Nothobranchius furzeri: one gene and its partners. The protein of the gene in region 3 purifies or fractionates together with the protein of the main gene of each other region. This does not show direct contact. Links are inferred from orthologs where the notes say so. Each region holds a gene or a part of one and is shown on either strand. Other genes may lie near its edges.

What was found. The genes of interacting proteins can lie anywhere in the genome.
Region 1: the proteins of atxn2l (region 3) and lsm12b purify together in Homo sapiens (affinity purification with mass spectrometry; 4 studies listed by BioGRID and IntAct, with this or other methods). This does not show direct contact. The link is inferred for Nothobranchius furzeri from reciprocal best matches to the Homo sapiens genes ATXN2L and LSM12.
Region 2: the proteins of atxn2l (region 3) and g3bp2a purify together in Homo sapiens (affinity purification with mass spectrometry; 4 studies listed by BioGRID and IntAct, counting the BioPlex papers as one, with this or other methods). This does not show direct contact. The link is inferred for Nothobranchius furzeri from reciprocal best matches to the Homo sapiens genes ATXN2L and G3BP2.

The regions. Positions count from the first base shown.
Region 1 is NC_091756.1:47,423,463-47,428,074, reverse strand, and holds the start of lsm12b (protein LSM12 homolog A), read left to right. Parts: upstream 1-1,633; 5' UTR 1,634-1,786; coding exon 1,787-1,913; intron 1,914-3,941; coding exon 3,942-4,075; intron 4,076-4,612. Other genes in the region: g6pc3 (glucose-6-phosphatase 3), read right to left, coding at 1-55. UniProt on the Homo sapiens protein: Nicotinic acid adenine dinucleotide phosphate (NAADP) binding protein. Confers NAADP sensitivity to the two pore channel complex (TPCs) by acting as TPC accessory protein necessary for NAADP-evoked Ca(2+) release.
Region 2 is NC_091744.1:13,117,500-13,122,021, reverse strand, and holds the start of g3bp2a (ras GTPase-activating protein-binding protein 2), read right to left. Parts: upstream 2,980-4,522; 5' UTR 2,798-2,979; intron 613-2,797; 5' UTR 589-612; coding exon 494-588; intron 420-493; coding exon 338-419; intron 193-337; coding exon 19-192; intron 1-18.
Region 3 is NC_091756.1:34,773,465-34,778,177, forward strand, and holds the start of atxn2l (ataxin-2-like protein), read right to left. Parts: upstream 3,028-4,713; 5' UTR 2,819-3,027; coding exon 2,706-2,818; intron 1,973-2,705; exon of another isoform or gene 1,957-1,972; intron 1,947-1,956; coding exon 1,907-1,946; intron 1,637-1,906; coding exon 1,580-1,636; intron 882-1,579; coding exon 810-881; intron 156-809; coding exon 1-155. UniProt on the Homo sapiens protein: Involved in the regulation of stress granule and P-body formation.

The DNA of each region.
Region 1 (4,612 bases), about 13 Mb from region 3:
TCTGTTGCTGGAGAGTTTCAGCGACCCAAATGCCCTGTGTGTAGACGGACTCCATTTTAACGAACCCCCTCTAAAGTATCTAAAAGCAGTTGAACCTCAAAACATGTAGCTAATTGTCGGATGATGAAATCTAGGATGAGATGCTGAAAATGTTGCACTACTAGTTTATTTCCAGCAGGAGGAGCTGTTTTACGTTGGGTTTCTTTCTTTCGTGGAACCGAGCGTTACGTCGAGATATGTCACTCAGTGTTCCAATATTAGTTCTAAGTAGATAGAAGATAAAATATGTTATTTTAAAAATTTAAGACCAGAAAATTTTATAATTCATTCATGTAAACCTGAAGTGAATGTGGTATTTCAAGAAATATTTAAAGATTTTACAACTAAATTCTTCATATTCGGAGGCTCCTATTAAGACAAAAGAAAGGATTTTATTAAACAACCTGACTGTGTATTTAAATAACACTATGCATAAAAAATCATAATAGAACAATTGAAGTAATAAAAAGATGGCCTCATGTCAAGATAGGTTGACAACAATAGGATATTTATATGAATCTTTCTGGGAAGATCTAATCACATTTATTTGAGGTGAAAATTTGAACATAGAAAGATTCATTAACATTTAATAAAGCAAGACCCTTACCCTAATCCATCCATTTTCCTCCGCTGATCCAGGGTTGGGTCACAATTGGGCCAGTTCCTCTGGGGGAATCCCAAAGAATTCCCTGGACAGACAAGAAATCAGTTATCAAGTTGAACATGCCTGGAAACCCTCACCAGGGAGGTGTCCAGGAGGCATCCTAACAAGATGTCTGAGCCACTTCACCTCGATGAGGAGGAGCAGCGGATCTACTCCAAGCCCCACCCTGTTGTCCTGGGGGGAATTGCTTAGCAAGATTCCCCAGGAGACAGAGAAGTCTGAAGGCAAAACAACAATGATGTTGTGAACCTGGGTGTCTGTGTGTATTTGTTAGCGGCTCCGCCCTCTTGGTCTGCCAGGCAACAGCAACAGGAAGAGGGAGTAGAGTAAGACTCTGGTAGGGGGCGACTTGCCCTTTAATTATTATTCATCATCAAATGTTTCCTTATTACTAGAAATATTAGTTTGAGGTAAAACTTAACTATGAGGAACAAAGCTGTGCTTATCCTTAGAATAATTAATCAGCGCCAACAACATTTGAAAACAGTTTGATGAACACATTTTCCCTTTTATCCACATTTTTTATTGAAAGTAATTAGTACATTTTTGCACATTTACAAAAAAGAATATATGTAGATACAGTTTTGATTCCTTTTGTATTTTCCACATAATAAAATAGTTAATAAGGGAGGGAGCTGGGGGGGAACTTGTTGGAGTTAACATACTAGGTCCCAGAAAAATGATTTACATAACAAAACTTTGTAACAAATTAACATACATTATGAATTATTCCTGAAACCAGACATAATTAGATGCGTGTTTAGGATGTTGTTTTACTGCTGCTGTGGTATGGTCAAATCAGGGAAGTGACGCATTAGTCAGTGTTCGCTGTAAACCTTTGCTCTAAATGACTGATGTGTTTTGTTTTAAATAACGCCTCTTTCTTTAAATCTGTATGATCCGTAAATCGCCTGACGTACTGTGTGGGGTAAGGGTAATATATTCAAAGAACATTTGAGGTAAAGTATGCGTAATATTTGTCAATGACCTTAACTCGGCGTACGAGGGCACGCCCAGATTCGTCTTCCTACGCCACCACGTTGCTTTACGTAAGGCAGGCGCTCCGGTTTCCTGGCGGAGAAGATGGCGGCTCCTGGACCGGGGGAGTATTTCAGCGTCGGGAGCCATGTCTCCTGCCTCACCTGCTTGGGCCAACGGCTACAAGGAGAAGTGGTCGCTTTTGATTACCAGTCCAAGATGTTAACCCTGAGTATCCTTTGTTTGTTTCTCGCTGCGGACGGATGGCTGGCTGGCCTGCCTGGCTGCACAGGCCTGTAGGGTAACCGAAAATATGTCAAATAGTGATCCGCGCAGGCGTAATTGGTGGGAGCTGAGTTACACATCTTTGTCCGTTTTAAGTTATTTCATTTTCCGAAGTAGTTGTCCATTTTTTTGTGAAATTAAGTCATCATTTGCGTTTTCTTGGTGTTTTAATGCGCCTGCTCGGACGTACATGTGTTTTGAATCCACTCATTGTATTGGCAGCTCTCGACATGGATCACTATTTGGCATCATGGCTGTGTGCTCTCAACAGTTAGCAGGCTAACTGACATTCAGCGCATCTCGCTCTGACTTGTGTCCGCACGTGTATCTCACACAGTCTTCACCCACAGATGCCAGCGCTCGCTTTAATGAGTTCGTTTTATTTTCTACGACACCCATCGGAGCTACAGGGGAAGGGCTGCTAGCTCGGCTAACATGCTAACTTTCGTACAAACCATTCCACCCATATTCTGCTCGGAAGCTATGTTAACGCTAGTACGCATCTAAGGTGTGTTAGCCTGTTTTTATTGCGAGTTTATCACGATTTTATTTTCTTGTGACACAAATTAATTACAGCTAATCACGATTCATTTGGGTTAGCATGCTGAGCTGATCACAACTAACCTTAGCTTGTCTGTGAGCATGCTTCCATCCCTTCATGGGAGGAGGATATAGGTGTATGATAAAATGTAGTCATTTGATTAGAGGCTAATTTAAAATTAAAATAATACGCTAAACTTCTGGTGTAGTGACAGTCTACGTGACCGAACTGGCATATGACTCAAGAGGGTTAAAAAAAGAATGAATGGGTTTGACAGTGAGGGCGTTCTGTGTCTAAAACATAACTACGTCACTCATTTAATGTATAATTTCCCCCAAGCAAAATTGGATGTATGATTTTTCTAAATTAAAGGCTTCAAAATGTTTCTAGCTATAAAAAGATGATTGAAATCTTTAAGTATCTGTTGGAAGTGGGGATGTTTGAACAGATGGACCCAAGTTCTGCTCTGAGGTCTGGCAAAACTGGACCTTCTGTAATTTTCACAGGTTATAGCGTCACCAGGTAACTTGTGAATATATTTACATACAATACAGTTCCATCTGTTGATTTCATCATAAAGTACTAAATGTACTAAAACATGTTTTGACACTTCTCATAAAGGTTCCCATTTGGATGTTCATAATTTAGACCGGTAGTGACATTTAAATGGTTTTAGTGAATCTGTCAGCATTTTTGTGACAAATTCAGTACAGTGAAACTACAAACATGATGTTAAAAGCTAATTGTGTTTTTGGTGTTCATGTCAAATGTCCAGATTTTCTCTATTGTGGGTCAGTGTGCCAAAAATATCGTGGAATAAACCCCAAAAAGAGACTTGTTTTAGAAACTTCCTGACAATCTTGCCTCTTGTTAACCAAAGTGAAAGAAAGGATCATGTGTTGAAACTGTCGATGCTTTTCTGTTTCCACTTTCAATATGTTCTCGTGTTTGTTTGCTTCTATCGGCATCCCCTAAATACTTCGGCTTGCCATACAGCCGTTCATTCCAGGGTGAAATGCATCAGGATTTAAATGTGCATTTAGATTAAAACCCTCAGTTTGAATAAATAAATGAGTATTTTATCAGTGGAATTAGATTTTAAGATGAGTGATTTGTTGGAAACATTCCAACAGAAAAACAGATTCAACACGCTGCAAGTTTAATCAAATATTAATCTGAGAAAGAAGACATTTGTGGCTGTGTGCAGGCTGTCTAATTCCTATTCCTTCATTCATGTGTTGCTGCTGTAGGTGGCAGCACTGCCCTCAGCAGTCACACGCTGTAACTGGCACCACCTTTCACTGTCTGGTTATCAGCCACAGCTCCTATCAGAATGCAGATGGTGTTCGAGTTCCTCGGGGTCAGATAACAATAGTAATTTTGTTCTTCAAGTCAGTGTCGTGAAATTTTCTGCCTTAACTTGTGTCTTTAAAGAATGCGCTTCCTCCAGTGGTAAGTCAAACCTCAACGACGTCATCCTGATCAACTTAGCCTATGTATCTGAAGTGGACATAATAAATGACCGGACTGAGACTCCACCTCCACTAGCATCTCTGAATGTTGGCAAGGTGAGTTTGTCTCATTTCTGCTGCTTTTGCCATTAGAACAATGTTGTGATACATTTGAACTCAACGTTCAGCTGTGATGTGTCACAAACAGGATCCATCGATTCTAAGATCCTTATTTATTCTAACTTCAAAAGCCCGTACAGCGTGGCTCTTGTACGTTTGTGGTGCATTTAAATGGACAAAGTGGCACATATCCTGCCCCTCATTAACATAAAGGTGAGGTCTGGGTTTGTAAGGTGCGACTGGCGCAGATGTGTGACCTCAGAAAACCACTACACAGATAAATGTGTTTATTTTCCTTTGAAAGGTGCCTCATTTTAACAGTATCACAAAAATTTCTAACAATTCTCTTGAAATGCTTTATTATATTGGTCCGATTATAATATCGTTTTGGTTAGCCTATAGCAAAGGGAATGCTGCATGTTCCTGTAGCTGTGACAACATACCTAAATGATCTTACGGTGCACTTTGGTGATTTTCTACGGCAACTGTTCCCAAGCTTTTCAGCTTCAAACTAATAAAGTACAAAAGCCTACA
Region 2 (4,522 bases), on a different chromosome or scaffold from region 3:
AACGTTGGGAGCACTCACCTCTGGAGCAAGCACGAATGTTTGCATAAATTTCCTCATAGGTTGACCGTTGTTTGACAGTTCTCCAAGGACCTGAACCACGACTCCATCACTCAGAGTGGCATGGGCATCGACATGCCGGATCTTTGTGTGGCATTCACTAAACTGCAGGGACATGACTTTCTTGTGGATTTCCTGAAGGGTGTGGAGCCAGAAAGAAAAAGAAAAACCCAGAATTCTAGGGTGGTCAATCCCCATTTTAAAAACCCCAACTTCAGAATATTCCATTTCAAAAGCGTATTAACAAAGAGAATTGTCATTATCAAGCTGTAGCACCTACCGCTTGCCCGTACACTGCTTCTGCCAGCTTCCCACTTGTGTCAAGCCCCCCGTGAACATAGGAAGAATTCCTTCCATAGAACCTGAATATACAGTTAGTCATAAAAAAATACAATGTTGTCTACATAAAAAAGCTTAATTACATTTATATACTTACCTGTGAAGAAAATCTGGTGCCTTGTTCAAGAGTGTGTAATACTGCCTCACAAACTCCCGCCCTACAAGCAGGGGACTTGGCTTCTCCATCACCATTTCTTTGGTAAACAATATTAAGTGCTAAAAAAAAAAAAAAAAAAAAAAAAAAAAAAAAAAAAAAAAATTAAGAATGTGATCTCAAACACATAGCTACAGTAAATCAGGGCAAAAAAGTTAATATCTAATTATAGAGGACAACATTTGAGGAATTTATTGCCAATAAAAGTATTAGAAGAAAGTAGCTCAGGAGGTAGAGTGGGTTGTAGGATTGATACCGGCTCCTGGAAGAAAATTCTGCTGTTGTGTCCTTCAGCAAGACACTTAACCCTCCCTGCCTGCCGGTGGTGATTGTCGGAGGGACCGTTGGCGCATGTGCTCGGCAGCCTTGCCTCCGCCAATGCACCCCCAAGGCAGCTGTGACTACACTGTAGCTTATCACTACCACTGTGTGAATGCACGAATGTTGCACTGAAGTGTAAAGCGCTTTGGAGTCCTCTGACTCTGAGAGGCGCTACAAGAGCAGGTCATTTATCATTATAGTCCAACTCTAACCTGTTAGTAGTTGGGAACACTGACTAATTGATTACTCATTATTGAAATTCAAGTTATAAATTACTTGAGAACAGTTACATCTTTATGCTTTCTGAGCCTTAGCTGAGTAACAAGGATGTGTTTATGTAAACAAGAAAAAAATGTCTAACTCAAATATTGTTTCCTTTTTACACAACTGCTTCAGTTTGTTTTGCTTGTTTAATGGCTAAAATTTTACTAACACCATGGTCACGAACAGATGGCAAAAAAATCTGACCGTCAGACTCAATGATTCGGATCTAAATTTCAGCAGAACAGTACCTGCAGTAGTGTAAAATACTTAAATCCTTTATCATGAAAAATGCTGACATGTGCAATTCTGAAGAGTTCACTGATTTTCGTAACTTAACTGATTAAGACAATTTTATTAGAAGAGACCCAAGTGTTTTTTTATCTTTATGACACATTTCACGTGACAATTTTATTCAGCATTTTGCTATAATTATAAACATTCCTTTAAAGACCCAGACAGTTCACGTAAACAATTATATAATTAAAAAACTTGACTAAAAACATCACCAATAAAGATCACCAATTCACCTACAGGTGATCCTTATCTGGTCACAATCTTAGCTAAATCATTTGCACAATGGCTAACATTTTAGCCAACATTCAACTGCGCCATCAGAATCATGCAATCAAACAAAGGGGGAAACCGGGTGTAAATAAAAAAAAAAGGGAAGCGTCTTGTGCAGACGTTCGTGAATATTGGGAGATTTACACGGGCTTTACAACAAATCAATTCCGCTTCAAAGTTAATAGTTGCATACATGTGTTAGACATATCTGCGCAAATCTTTGTAGATGAACGGCCTGGTGTATGAGGCCTTTCATGTCTGTGCTGACAACACTTTGCTAATCTCACATTTGTCGCATGTTCACAGACGACATGACGTGACCGATTCGTTTTTTTTTCTTTGTGTGCTCAGGTTGCAGACATGTCAGGAACACAGTGTACCTACGCTGACAGCTAACACGAGATAAATCATACAGTAAGAACAGAACGTAAATGTCCATTTACAGACCACATCACTGTCACCTGAAATGGCTAACGCTAACCCAGGAAACAACAGCAACTTCGAGTTTAGCAAGCTAACTAGCGCTGGCTAACTTGTGGCGTCGTCGTTTTTCCTCCAGCTATGGGCACTTTGTGAGTCGGGGAAAGCTTTAAAATTTGGCAAATGTTCAGACGTTACAAGAAAGCATTGGGAATAAACTGCCAACAAATTGTTACCAACACTTTACATTCGTACAAAACCAGAGCCTTTCATCCTAATATGAGTGCTGAAAGCTAAGTCAACATGACGTTACCTCACCATAAGACATCAGTGGACTTGAAATTAACGTTGAATCAAGAACTATCAGCCCTTTAATTGCCGGTAAAGCTTTAGATAATAGACATATTACGTTTTGCCAAACTTTATTAACCCAATCAACAACTTACACTTTCGAACTATTAAAACGAGAACTAAGATAAAAGAAAACAAGTTGACAAACCGAATGAACATTTAAAATGTCAGCGTTCGTGGCTAATGTGGTTATTTTTGACCATTAACTAAACAAAGAGTTAGCAACTTCGGACAACAACTGTTTGTAACTAGGTAATTGTGGTTTAGACAATGCAGATTAGCTTGCCGGTTTGTCTGGTAGCTGATTTAGCTAAAAGGCTAACTTACCTTATGAAGGACCTATCTATGGAGACAGAATTCAAGTTTAGTAAATAAATACGAATGGTCGACTGTAAACGGTTCTGAAATACAACGTATTTCAGGTAATTGTGTGCACTCTCTACCACAGCCGTATATGATCTCTGCTGTGCCAGAGATTGACGATTTCGTAGTGATGCCTTCGATTTATTTTTTCCACCCCTGCATTTGGGGCAGGGAACCCCCGTTGACCTAATTTAACCAATGGATGGCTTACACTAGATCATATGAAGTGTGACGCAGCACATAAAACCGCGCCCACTACAAACTTTCTCCATCATGTGCCAGAACAGAATGTATGGAGTTTTACAAGTTCCATTATGTGGAACAAAAAAAAAAATAATAATAAAAATAAAAAATAAATAAAAGAAAAAAAAAAGGGGAAATTGTTGCGTAACCCTAATGTGTAAGCATGTGCAATTCAAATCTCTGTTTAAAGGGATACTTTGCAACATTTTCATATTTTTCAATCATTTTCTTCAGCCAGTATGCTAAAAATGACCCTTTACAGTGTTAATGAAATGTCACTTAGACCTAGCCTGGCAAGCTAGACTAAATAGATATATGTAGTGGTGGCTCATTACATCAGGATACAATACATATGGCAGAATGCTAATCTGCTCTTCATTGGGAAAATTATTGAAAAAGCTGTTATGATCCAGCAGAACAACTTTTTAGAGACAACCTGCTAGATAGTTAGACAACACCAAAGCACTGAGACTGCACTTAATAAAGTATTAAATGATATTCGTCTAAATACAGTTTCAGGCAACACATCTGTCCTTATGATGCTTGATCTCAGTGCAGCTTTTAATACTGTGGACCACAACATCCTTCTTGATAGGCTCATAACCTGGGTGGGACTTTCAGGTACAGTCCATAGTTGGTTCCAATCTTATCTTGAAGACAGGTGTTTTGTTTCTATTGGTGATCACAAATCAAAGCTGATCACTATGACTTGTGAGGTCCCCCAAGGCTCAATTCTCAGACCACTGCTCTTCAATCTCTACATGCTCCCCCTGGGTCAAGTCATACACAATAACAGCATTGCCTATCATAGTTATGTAGACGACACCCAGATCTACCTAGATCTATCACCTAGTGACTGTGGTCCTCTAGACTCACTCTGTCAGTGTTTGGAGCAAGTCAATGACTGGATGCAGTCAAACTTACTCCAGTTAAACAAAGACAAGGCTGAATTTATTGTCTTTGGAAATAAGAAGGATAGGTTGGAGGTTATTGATCAGCTTGGCTCCAGAGGAGTAAAGACAAAGGACCAGGTTAGAAATGTTGGTGTCATAATTGATTCAGACCTGAGCTTCACTGGTCACATTAGGGCTATAAATAGATCAGCGTTTTATCATCTTCATCAGATAGTACCACTCAGGCGTCTCATGTCCAAACAAGACCTATAGAAACTCATGTGTTCATCTCTAGCAGGCTGGACTATTGTAATGGACTTTTGACTGGTCTTCTCAAAAAAACTGCAACTGCAGCTTTTTCAGAATGCTGCTACCAAAGTCATAACAAGAACCAAGAGAAACGAACACATCATTCCTGTTCTTAGATCTCTACACTGGTTTCCAGTAAACTACAGAATCAATTTCAAAGTACTTCTAGTAACTAGTTTATAAATCACTCAATGGCATGGGACCACAATACATGTCGAATCTCCTTCAGGTATATATGCCCAGC
Region 3 (4,713 bases):
GTAGCAAAGTTGAGGTCAACATCTCTGCAGATCATTGTGACCAGATCTGAAGGGTTGAAGATCATGGTGTCTGTGATGTCCTCCCTTCGTGGCGGAACCAATGTTGAGCCCTCTTCCTCGCTGCGTTTGTGTACAGCGTCCACAGCCAGCTCACACTGACAACAGACACAGCAGAGAAAGGACAAATCTGACTTTTACCAACTTTAAAGGTTCCACATCATGGATAATCTTATTTTTGGAACTTTTTACTGTGTGATAGTCATTTCCTCATGAGAAATGCCGCCAAACCCTTTTTTGGCTCCATTTGTGCATTTTCATGTCTGAACTTCAGTTTAGTCGATGAAAACATTTGTCCTACAAACGGAATAAACCCACCAGGCACTTCTCCTCCACCTGAAGCTGGTGGTCTCAGTTCTGAAACCTGGATATTCTGACAAATTACTTCTGCATTTGTGACTAAACACCGCTGTAAAGACCATGCATCCTGCCTACAAAGCGACTGGTGGTTAGAGTGCTGGACTGGCATGTCGTTTTGCACAGGGTTGACTGCCGGTGACAGAAGTAACCTTTTCTTCTTCTTCTTCAGCTACACTTGCCAGTATTAATGACATCTCAATGGAGCCATTGGTAATATTTTATCATATATTGTGCCTACCATTGCTTTCAAACGTTTAAAAAAGCTGATCTGGAACCACATGAATGGCTAGGGTTTTCAATAGGAAGAGGTTTTAATTACTGGAATTATTTCTAGGGCAAATAATCAAAAACAAAAATGCCATGCTTTTATTTGATGGAGACAAAATTCTTACCCGAGAACTGAGAGTCTTAAATATGCCTTCAAACACATTGCCATTCTTCACTCTGATGTCACAGGTGGATCCCTGCAAGAAAAATCATTTGGTTTCACAAATATTGCACACAGAAGGACAATATTTGCCATCTAAGAATTTTCAAACAGGAGTCAACCGATATTGTTTTTAATTGTCAATATCATCAACATGCGGGAGACATGGTCAGACCATGGCCAAAATGTACTGACGAACTTATGGGCCAACTTTCATGGCCTAGATCGACACGTTTTCCACCTGATTTTCATGCTAAAATGTCACTATTAACATCAGTTGACACAATTTCTCAAACTGAATCAAGTTTTTGAACTCTAAATTTAACCAGCTGTGCACTTGTCAGTGTCAGACAACTAAATTAAGTTAATTTAGAGTATTTATTATACGGATGTTATTTGTGAACACAAAATTTAATTTAATTTAAATTCTGCAACAGCACTGGGTGCCCAAGGAAGCGGCTGACTTTAGGCTTTACTAAGGACAGATATCAGCCGATGTATAAAAACGGTAAACATCGTCCAGATATATTCGCCGATCGATATGTCAGTCTACCCCTATTTCTGAGTATTTTGGAGAAAAAGTTACAAAACACACCATGTATATTTGAGGAAATGACAAACCACGACACAAATCCATGCACTTTTATTCTGCAACCTTTAGTCACCAGGAGCAGGAAAATACTGCGCTGATGAGTTGCTTTGAGAAGAGTTTTAACAATGACTAAACTGACTTACCACAACAGCTGTGAGGAAATGAAGCATTCTGGCATTGTTGTACACACCCTCAAACACCTACACACAAAAGTTATGCATCAAGACAGATTTCTGAAGATTTGATGTAAAACAAGCAAAAACTGTAACATAATTACACAGTTAACTTGTTGACAGGTTTGGTTTTTACACATTCACTGATGCAAGCCTATTTTAAAATAAAAACAACTATTGTGTCCAATGTGCACAAACCGTGTGTGTGTGTGTGTGTGTGTGTGTGTGTGTGTGTGTGTGTGTGTGTGTGTGTGTGTGTGTGTGTGTGTGTTGATCAACATTTTTCAGAACACTCACAGGTGGCGACTGGAAAGAGGACTTTGCAGAAGTTCGATTCCTGTAATAAACGTCGGACGCTGTTAAGTACGATTCGTGCCATCACACACACACACACACACACACACACACACACACACACACACACTAGGAATTTAAATGCTATCATAGGGAGTCAGAGCCATCTTTCCGAAAACACATTTTTAGCAGGTGCTTGTTTTCCACATGTTGTTTTTTTAAGTAACAGACGCTGACCTAACACGATTTATGTTAATGTAATTTATTTCTTTATTCAAGCCATTTAAAAATGTTTTCAGAACGATCTAAATTAAATTGCATTCAGTAAAAATAAGGGCATCGCAGCTGGTTACAAAACAAAGACAGCTTCATCGAGTCCAGTGAACACACACACACACACACTCTCTTCTGAAAAAATAACACCAGACCATTTTGTAGGCCCAAAATATCTTAAGTGTAACATTTAAAAATAGAATAACACGTTTTACTGACTACGAGAATTAGAAAAATACGCGTACTTTCTTTAGCACTGACAGGCCACATAAACTTTGCATCCCCGTTATGCTATGGTGCTCATTGTTTTCACCCACTTAGGTCCGCCTCAAAGTTTTGGATTAGAACAAATCAAGTTTTCTTATTGGTTCAACGTTGCTGTCAATCAATAAAATAGTAATGTAATTGGCTGAAACTGAATAACTCTTAAACCACGCCCACCCGTAGCATAGCACTTCAACCGGTAGGCCTTTCAGACACAAGAAGACAAGCCTCGGACTATCCCACCAAGAGAACCCAACTCGCTTACCTTGCAGTCGATGTCCTGCTGCCGCTGACTGGGGAAGACATACCGCCTGGGCCTGACGTTCCGTTGGATGCCTTTCTCCCGCCTGAGCCGGGTTGCTGCTGGGGTTTCAGCATTGCGAAGCACAAGGCTTAGAAAATATCAAGTTTAACCTAATTTATCAAAATTGATACCTCCCGTAATGAAGCGGAAGTAAAATCCAACTATGTTTAGCACCAGAGCCGGTGTAACCTCAAAAAGACCGGCTACTGTCGCCTGTGGCCTAAAACGCTGAGGCAAAACCCTTCGGTAACTAAATAAAAATGTAATAAATAAGTTAAGAAATTGCCCCAAAGTATTTACTCTGTAACCCCAATTATTACGTCAAAAAACAACCAGTAAAGAGCCACCAGTTTCCGTTTAATTATTTAGCAGTGACTGGCTAAGTTAGCGGTAGCTTTGATCCTCAAGCTCACTTCGGGCGCTTTCCCCCCGGGATTTACTTTCTCCCGTCGGTCTCGTAGCCTCAACTCCGGCGCTGCTGGCTCTTCCGTAATAAACTAAGGACCTGGCGTTACTGCCAGTCAGTTGCCTTAGGAGGTTGAAATGTTCAGGTTTCTAACTGAAAACCTGCTGCGGTCGGTCAACACCACCTTTCGGTAGGTTCACTTGACTCAATCCGCGCGCTGCTGACTGGAAATAGGTGTTGTGCCAAAACTGCTGTGGTGTGAAAAGTTGCTTCACGTCCGCGGGCACGAGCGCAACCAGCGTTCACTTGATGTACTGCTATAAACCTATTCTGTCTAGGTTTTTTTTTCCCTTAGCAAATACGCGTATAGGTCTGCTCTGTGGGAAAATGCAAGAATACTTAAATATGTATAATGTGTGAGCATACACTTTTAATATACTTTTTTAATTTTAATTTGCTTTTATTGAGGTGGTGGGAACTAATGTTAAACCATGCCGGAAGACAACAGGAAATGCTGCCGACAATGTTTAGCGCGCGCTCCCGCGGACGCACTTCCGTTTCTGGTGGACTATCCGTTTGACACAACACCTGCTGAAAAAAAAGATGGGGGTGAATTCACGTGCGTTGAGCGCGCGCCTACGTGGAATGCCGAGCACAAATAAATAAATAATCAATTAATTAATTGATCTAAACAGGTGTCGCTGAAACATACAACAAATGGTGCATTCAGCTGTACACGTGGCAGGCACCTGATAAATTATAAACGCAAACTGTTCACAACGTATCGTGTTAAATTGTATTTAATTACGTTTTATCCATCCACCTTTTCACAAGTGTGGCGGCTCTGAGTTCTGTTGTCAGTTTCATTTATGAACCATCGATCAATTGTGACGACAGAAAAAAACATAGCCAAAGAAATGCGAGTGCGTCTTTACAGCAGTTATTACAGCACTAGTCTACAAACAGCATGGCGGCCTCCGTAGAGAGACATTAGTGTGTCGACAGTTCGGTAATTTACTAGTTCTTCTGTGCTTGAGTCTCAGTTTTTGCTGTTAGCAAACTACCAAGAAAACAAAATACATCTTTCATCCTCTGCCAAAGGAACCGTAAGTGCTTGAGGTTATTTTGAGTGGCTATAACCATCACTGATTCGATCAAATCGTGTTAAATTAAGGAATATAATTAAAAACCAGCGTTTTAATACTATAGACTAAGTTTTTTTCCCCCACAAAAACTCATTTGATCGCGTTTAATTTCGCAGATCTGTGTTTGCCAAAAGCAGAAATTGCCCCTCATTTTGTGTCTTATGTACAACAAGTCAAACATTTTTATTAACGACCTTATATCTTGATTTTGTCGTTTTGCACAAATAATAGTAAAGTAAAAAAGTAAAACCTAGTAAAGGCTAATGTACTTGTAGACTTCCTAAAAGCAAAACGTGACTAAATGTCCAGTGTGTGTCATATGTGTTAAATGTGTTGTCAAAATAATTTAAATTACATACCAACAAAATAAATAAAAACTGAACTTAAGTATCAAATTACAGCCAGATTAAAAACACAG